Oryzias latipes: one gene and its partner. The protein of the gene in region 1 binds, or shares a complex with, the protein of each later gene. Links are inferred from orthologs where the notes say so. Each region holds a gene or a part of one and is shown on either strand. Other genes may lie near its edges.

What was found.
Region 2: the proteins of kif1bp (region 1) and kif18a are in contact, whole or in part, in a cryo-EM structure (PDB 7RSI), measured with the Homo sapiens proteins. The link is inferred for Oryzias latipes from reciprocal best matches to the Homo sapiens genes KIFBP and KIF18A. Residues at the interface, in NP_056449.1 of Homo sapiens: Ser150, Glu151, Tyr212, Tyr213, Gln216, His220, Gln238, Ile251, Asn252, Thr255, Gln258, Asn262, Gly414, Tyr415, Val459, Asp460, Leu461, Asn462, Pro463, Gln464, Leu467; in NP_112494.3 of Homo sapiens: Glu181, Thr183, Gln184, Lys185, Gly186, Arg274, Phe275, Val276, Glu277, Gly278, Thr279, Asn280, Ile281, Arg283, Ser284, Leu285, Leu288, Gly289, Val291, Ile292, Arg314, Lys317, Asp318, Gly322, Asn323.

What each region holds. Positions count from the first base shown.
Region 1 is NC_019861.2:24,154,513-24,158,952, reverse strand, and holds the start of kif1bp (KIF1-binding protein), read right to left. Parts: upstream 3,066-4,440; 5' UTR 3,040-3,065; coding exon 2,575-3,039; intron 2,367-2,574; coding exon 2,268-2,366; intron 765-2,267; coding exon 685-764; intron 603-684; coding exon 544-602; intron 31-543; coding exon 1-30. Other genes in the region: mpc1 (mitochondrial pyruvate carrier 1), read right to left, coding at 4,196-4,223, 4,429-4,440. UniProt on the Homo sapiens protein: Activator of KIF1B plus-end-directed microtubule motor activity. Required for organization of axonal microtubules, and axonal outgrowth and maintenance during peripheral and central nervous system development.
Region 2 is NC_019861.2:17,967,455-17,971,276, reverse strand, and holds part of kif18a (kinesin-like protein KIF18A), read left to right. Parts: intron 1-2,295; coding exon 2,296-2,453; intron 2,454-3,515; coding exon 3,516-3,620; intron 3,621-3,822.

The DNA of each region.
Region 1 (4,440 bases):
AGCAGTAGTTGGCCGCCCGCTCATTTTCACCTGAAAGAGGACAACATGGACATGTTCTATAACTATAGCTCTTTTGTTTCGTTAACAAATTATATTCAATAACTCAAAAGAATTACTAGAAAGATCGATTCAAATGAATTTAACTAATAGTTAAGTGTGGGGCTTAATAGGAAAACGTCAACATATTAAAGAGCATGTTGAGATTGTGGGACAACAGACAGAAAACGTTTGAATTCTTGAGGTCGTTTTGTGTGTGTTTTTTTCATTTAAGGCACGTACTGCAGTTGCAAAAAGACCAAAAAGTTGAAATGTATCCACAACAATCTAAATTCCTTGGGTGTGAAGCCAGAGCTGCACGACTCATGGTGAATGCCGTTTTGCTTTTAGACAAAAATGAAAAATCAACAGAACATTTTTAACCTGCAAGTAAACGCAACATGGTATCATCCAAAAATGTGTCGGCGTGAACGGATTTTTGCATCGTCGTGAATTGCGTTCAGTACATTATAGTTCATCAGGATTTGATTTTGATCATTTACTCACCAAAATATTGATACACTTGTGCAAGGTAGTACAAAGTATGAGTGTAGGCCAGCTCAAACCTAGTGAGGAGGGAGACACAATTACAAACTATAGTAGGCAAAACATTTAAATACCAAATAAAATAAATTCTGGAGTTTCTACTTCTTGGTTCTTTCCTGATGAGTCAGCTGGTTCTCCTCAGAGCAGAAGTACTCTGTCATGTCTGTAGGGGGACTCCCATTCTGAAAATAGAATCAATAAGGAGGATTTTCCCACTTTGTTTCTGCAGATGGCAGCCCCATGTGACAACTTTAGCAACGTAAACAAATGTGAAAGCCTTTTTATTTGAATAATCCCACAGATATCTAGTATGAAACTGCACTCGGATAACTCTGATTACAAGTTGGATTTCTTAAGAAGGGGTAGAAATGATCTCATTTGAGGAAAAAACTAAATAGATGCTAAGGTGTGGCTAAACCAGGGCTGCTCATTCCTGGTCCTCAACATCTACCACCCTGTTGTTTCCTGCATCAGGTGTCTTCAGTCAATGAGAAGGTGGAAGGGACCTAATAGAGCTAATCAGCAGAAAGCAGGGCTCGGTCTGGAAAACAGACATGGTGGTATATCAGGGCCAAACCATTTCACATTAGAGCCGGGTGCTTGTAAGAGTTGTTCACCTGCGCTGCTGTTGGGTTCCTTTTAAAATGAACAAGCTGCATCGGCCATCTCAAACTTCCTTATGTACTGGAACACAACTTCAACATTGAAAGTGAAACACTTAAGAAAGCTTCCAAAAAAAGATTTAAACAATGTAAACTAGGGTATTCCATTTGCGGCAAAACAATGTATTGAAAACAGTAATCTTGAAATTTTCTATTTCCCTGTCTTAAAAACTCTCTGTGTCGTAGATCTAGATTTTTTAGAGAAAGACATACCGAACAAGCTCCTGCATAAACATCCAATTCATCCCTATCCTGTGTGGTCAAATGGAAATTTTATTCTAAGTTTTCTGAATTAAAAATGGATTACTAATAATCTAAAATTCACATGCACCCACAAAATAATGTGAGTGCATGTGAATGAAGAAGAATAACTTTATTTAAACCTTTTTTAATCATTTTTTCCCCTCTTTTTCATTTGCTTAAATTTACTTGTCAACCCATTATCAGTGTTGATAAAAGCTACCTGATTGTTCATATAAAGCAAAAAAAAAAAAATACCCCACTAATCAATACCTAGCCATATTAGTTAAAGACAAAACAGAGTCCAAGTGTACATTCTGTAACTCTCACTCTGAAACTGTTTTTTGGAAAGACTTTGTTCAAATTAAAGTCTATGAGGATATAACCATAAATTGGGAATATGTTCTGTAAGTAGATAGTAATATATTTTATGTAGTAAATATTACCAGTCTCCAAAATCCAAATTCCTGCATAGTCTCGACTATTTCCAGAAGCTCTCAAAGCTAATGAATGGGCAGCAGTGGCTAAGGCGTTTGAGCAGGTCGTCCAATGATCACAGATATATAAATTATTACTATTATTGTTTATGTTGTAAAATAGAACATCTTACTGGTGGTGCAATCCCCTTGGAATGTTTTTCTTTTTGTTCCAATACATTTTCTGCTTGTTCTTTTTGTAATGTTTATAATGTTGCCATTGAGCCATCCTAGATGGATGAGAATCTCCACAAAAAATAAACTAAAAAGTTTCACATGATATTAAACTGCATTAGGGCAGGTGTACCTCCTTCATGTAAAGTTGGTAGATGGACTCTGCAGTTTCAAGGAAGCCCTGGGACTTCTCCGTCTCATCTCTGCCTGCCCAGAGGATCCCCAGCTGATTCTGTCAACACGAGGAATAAAACACATGATCAGCATCAGGGAGGGAGGGGATCTCCATCAGCTGATCTGCCACAAAGGTCTATGTGTGGTCGAACACCCTGTAGCTGCACTAGTACGGCCATTTTCCCCTAAACACACAAACGCAAGTCATAGCTGTAGCAGATTGTGGTTACGACGCGAATAAGGCCACAAAACATTGCCAGTGTTACCCTGACGTGGATGAACAGCGACACGTTCTCCGATGACACTCTGCATTTGCCCAGATGCTTCATGCAGTTCATCAGATGCTCCTGCCCGGCGGACAACTCTTCTGTGTCCACGTGGTTGACGCCCAAATAATACTCCACAGCTGCGAGCCTGGCTGCTCGAAGCCCCGCGCGCGAGTCGCTGCTCCATCCCCGGCTGAACGCATCCAGATCCACCGGCTTCTCTCCGTCCAGAGGCTCCTCCGTCGGCTCCGGCTCGCTGCTCTCTCCGTCGTCGTGCTCCTCGCCATCTCCTGCTTCAAAGTTCTTCAGCGAGCAGTATATCTCTGTCAGAAGTTCCCTTGCCTTGTATTTGGATCGGAAAGGGTCGTTTTCGGGGTCGTTTCGTGATTCTACGTCGCTGAGCTGTAGGGCGTTGGTGAATTTGGCGCAGACAGCTTTCCACTCGTTACTGCTGAACGACGCCATAATTGTTTTCTTCTGCGGCGGTAGACGCCGTTCGTTTTCATCTGTGCTGCAGGGGCGTTACTGCCATCTGCTGGACAACCCCGGTACTACTTAGAAAAAACTTATTTTAAGTTAAAAAGGAAACTGGATTCTTGAATCTAGAAAAATTGTCCTGCTTTTATCCACAAGAGCCAAAGCATTAGCTTATTAACTTACTAAAATAAACATACGTTAGTTTTAAACAATGTATGTACGTTCCACAGTTTCAGAGAACAAAAGGTATAAGAAAATGATTTTTTGAGACAAAGCTGCAAGATTAAATAAATGCTTAAAAAGAAAAGAAAATAAGTTTAACTGCAGGTGTCAAGTGATGTAACAGTTGAAAAAAAACACATTACTGTGCTTCCATAAAATGCAACTCAGCTCATCTCAACACAAATAAAATTAGTGCATATGCCAAAGATCACACAAACATAATTGGAAAAAAAAGAGATGATCTCACAAATTATATTATTCTATCAAGTTTATTAGAAATTTACAACTGGAACATCAGGGAGGGAAAATGACGTGAGTTCATGTGAATGACACAACTAGGAGATGTTTTTTGTGTTTAATCCACACTGACAAACACAGCCTGTTTCATCTATTTTTAAATGACAGTCATATAGACAGGCATGATTTTCAAGTCAAATAAATATGCTATAATTATAACTAAAGAGCATCAGAATTTATTTGGTTTTAAGCTAAGATAATTTTCTAAAATAATCATATTTTTGAAGAATATTTTGCAATTTATGCAGCTAGAATGGCCTGGTATACTGGACATATTTCATGCTCTAAAGAATTTGGAGGCAATGACCTATAGAAATACAAGTAACATTACATTTTTCGTCAGGTGTGTTTGATGTCAAGCTAACAATTTTACAATTCAGTGTACATTCCTCACATACATTTTGTGTTGTTTTATGCAAATAATTTAAAATATAAATCACAACTGCTGACCTGTTTTTGGAGGAAAAAAAGTCATTAACTAATCTTGAAAAGAATGGATTGAAAATCTGCAAAAGTGCAACAGTTGTTTCACTGATTGAATTAATGTTTGATGAATGAGTATGGATGTTTAGAAGGCTCCTGAAGCAGCACTTAGAAGTCATTATCCATCATCCACCCTTTTCTGCTATGAAGATCCAGTCTTCTTCTCCATGCTGAATCAACAGAAAAACGGGGATTTCAGTTAAGTCGAATCCAATCAATTTAGCTACTACTGAAAATGGCAAAATAAAGAAGCATTCTTCAAACAAACACATTTGTAAACCAGGATTTTCCGTACTAATAACATTGTGGTGGTTCTGTTTTTTTTTTCTTCTTTCTGATATTGCAGTTCATTCAGGTTAAGCCTACGATACTTACTTGTATTTGATG
Region 2 (3,822 bases), about 6.2 Mb from region 1:
TTGCAACATAAATCCAAAACACCAGAGTCACAGGGATCACTGGGGCTTAAACAAACAAATCTTTTTGAGCTAAATATTGTAAAAAAAAAAAAAAAAAAAAAAAGCTTAATTTCTGTGGTCTGCAGCTAAGGTAATTTATTAAATCTAGCTCCTGAACCAAGAAGCAAGTCAAGAAGCAAACCCCCTCATCTAACAACAACAGTCCTTTAAGTAGTGCATACAAATTTTATAGATCCTTACTGATTCTGTCATCAATCACCTTAGAATGCTTTCCATAAAAATCAAAAATCGAGGCGGAAGAGGTTTTGTTTTATTTAGACAACTGCATAATTCTTATTGTTTATGTGGAGGGGGAAGCATGTCACGAAATTGTGGAGAAGGATTACAGGAAAGAAGGATTTCCAGCCTCAGTTTCTGTCTTAAGTGCAGAGCCCCATAATAATCATCTCCCTCTTGTCTTGTAAACAGAATTACCTGTTGCCACTTGAGGAGGAACCAATAACAGAACACTGCTTTACAAGTACTTTGTTTCTTGAGTAAAAACTATCTGAATCAGCCACACGTCAGAATGTCTTGTAAAACCAGGCAAATTCTCTAGTGACATGCTGACAAAAAACTGTTGATAATCCTCCATGTAACGAGTTATTTGAAATCAAACATACCTTACAAAAAAGATATTCAAATTTTCCTCCTTGTGGCTTTGGAAATGATTCACAGCAAGTTTAAGTTACTGATTATACTTGACAGGTTTTACTTTGTCATGAATGTTCTAGCAACTTTGGTCTCTGTCAAGGTGTAACTTTGCACAGCTTTAGGATCTAACAAAGGAGAATATTTTTATTCTCGTTATTATTAAAACTATGAGAAACCTCTTGTAATTCTTGGATTATTTTAACAACTACATGTAGACCCAACATGTATCTAAGGGTTCGGGGGACTGGGATGCTCAGGAAAAGCTTTTTGTCAAGTTACATTTACACTTCATATAGAAAAGCTCAATTACCAGAACTCTGAGCTAACTCTTGGAAAAATATCGTCACTGGCATTGATTGTGCTCTTTTTGCTTATTTTGTTTTTATCATGCTAATGATAGAATTTTTGATTTTGAATTTAGCTGCTTTTAGGTAAAAAAAAAAAAAAATTTGGTGGTTCAATTCCTGCTTTTTGTAAGTCTATAGGTTGTAGTCTTTTTGACCAAAGCAAACATTGTGTTCATGAGTACAGCAAAGCAGCACTTACAAAATACCCGGTGAAAGTGGCTTGTACAGTCAAAACACCTTATTCTGAATTTAACATTTTTCCAAAAGCTGTTAATATTTTTTGGAAGTCACTGTTTGCATGCAATTATAGCAGGGTAATGGTTAGGGTTACAGTTAGGGTTAGCATTAAATTATGTACGGCCAATGCAGCAATGTGCATTTTGGCTGCAAGAATATGTGTGGCCGACATAAATTTCCCTCAGTTTTTGAGCTTGGTCACACAGAAATGAGTATGAAAACCATTGGCTTTTTTGTATTTTTTTCCAGGTTCTGGTATTGTGGTCATGTATTTAAACCTTCTGATATTGCAACGCTGCCACTACATTATTTTGGTTCATATAAGTCCAACAAACCTCCTCTGTGAACTTTGAATGAGAGAAAACCCGCATTCAAGTAGTAATATGAAATGAAAATAGACAGAGTACTGGTAGTGCAGAATTAACTACATCCAAACTTTTCAGCATTAATATGAGTTGAGGAAAAATGTCCTTTGGTGCAAAAGAGCCAAATTCTTTTTCTCAATCTCTAGAGTTTATATACTTTTTGTTGCTCTGGTTTGCAGACAGGACAATCATTAAAGCAAATTTTAGTCAAGTTTTCCAATGAAAAAATTACCCATCTTAAATTCACTTTTTTAACTTAAACCTGTTAATATAATAGGGGAGTTTAACTAAGACCCAGTGTTATAAAATCCACGTCCTCAAACCTGAATGCCAGGATTTCAAAAGGTCTGAAGTTTGTCTGTTTACTTGGCTTTACTACCTCAAAGGCTGCAGACATGAGAACTTAAATCCTGAATTTATGTCTCACAGTCAATTTTATTTAGTTTTTCCACTGTTTTTTATTCAGTGTATCACTGTTGAGTATATTTTTTTACTGACTTGTTACATTTTTTAAGTTGCTGACACAGAACAGATAAATTACAACAGTAGCATTTTGTGACAGTAGAAAACTGGGTGGAACTGGCAATTTATTTAGACTTGTGACAGCAGACTTGCTCTTTATCACTCTTTGTAAGTTGTTTTTTCAATTGCAGTGTTTGCTTATGGCGCAACTGGAGCAGGCAAAACACACACCATGATAGGGTCACCAGATGATCCGGGGGTCATTTATCGGACCATGAAGGAGCTGTTCAAACGCATGGAGGATGTCAAGGAGGAAAAAGAGTTTGCTGTTACTTTCTCATACCTTGAGGTAAAACGCTTGACTACTTGGTGTACTAGTTGGTACAACTTTTTGTCTGTTTTATTTTTGTTGTTCCGTTTTTATATGTCCTTGTATAGTTTTTTTATAAATGATCTATAGGAATATGTTAATAGTTTTGAGGGTACAAATTATATTCTTCACAAATCTTTGGTCACTGATAAATTGAAGGCTGGATTTTCTGATTAGTTTAGGATCATTTTTTTGTTTTCCATCTAATATTCAAAAAATAAATAAATAAATAAAAATAATTGATAATTTATTTATCCCACAATGGAAAATTCTTCTCCGCATTTGACCGATCCCCGGAGGGAGCGGTGAGCTGCAGTAGCGTTAAGGCAGCAGTGATATGGTAATTGCCCCCAGTACCATTATTTATTCCCCTCCGGGAATCGAACCCTGGACTCCCTTTACCTTACCAACTGAGCTACCCAGCTGCCACTATATAGTTATATAGCGTCTTATTCCCAAAACACAACTGATTTAGGTAATCAGCAGCAGATACAGCAGGATTTTGTAACCCTTGTGCTATCTTAGGCACTTTAACATTGAGAGTTGGGTCATCTAGACCCACTAGACAGTGCGCTGAACCTTTTTTCTTCAATGATTTGTGATCTTCACTGGTGTCCATGGATTACATGAAATCCTCTTCACCTTTATCTACTTTTGTTATGGTAGGGAGAACACGTCAATGTAAGGGTGGGGTCATCTGGACCCCACAAGATAGCACCTAAAACATAAAAAAAAACAAAAAAAACAGCAGGATGCCAGCCCTCGAGACCAGGAGTCAAACATTTCGGATTTAGGGTTTGGAACGAGTTGCTGTAAAATTCTAGAAAACAGTCAAAAGTGTGGAAAAACAAATGTATCTTGATGAAACTCCCTTTGCCCTGTTTGTATTTGATCCAAAAGTCTGTTTTTCTGACAGTACCAGTTTCAATTTGATTTGCACTCTATACATTCATTCATTTAATGTGACGTGCACTATTTTCCAGATTTGCAGTTTTTTTTGTTTGTTTTGTCTTTACAACAGTTGATCTCAATTGTTCCCAGGTTTACAATGAACAGATCAGAGACCTGTTGGCTAATGCTGGGCCTCTTAATGTCAGAGAGGACAGCTCCAAAGGAGTCGTCGTTCAAGGCCTCACACTGCATCAGGTTTGTAACAATGCACCCAAGAACATATTAAAGGTAAATCAAGACTTTACTATTGCAGGTAATTTGTTACAAATTAAATTTAACAACACATTGTGTGATTGATCAGTTTAGAAACTGGAGAATAGATGAAAAAGTAAACAGCTTTCATATAGGCTCCTTATTTAGAGGTACATTTCCTCTATTTAGGCGTCATTAGAGAATG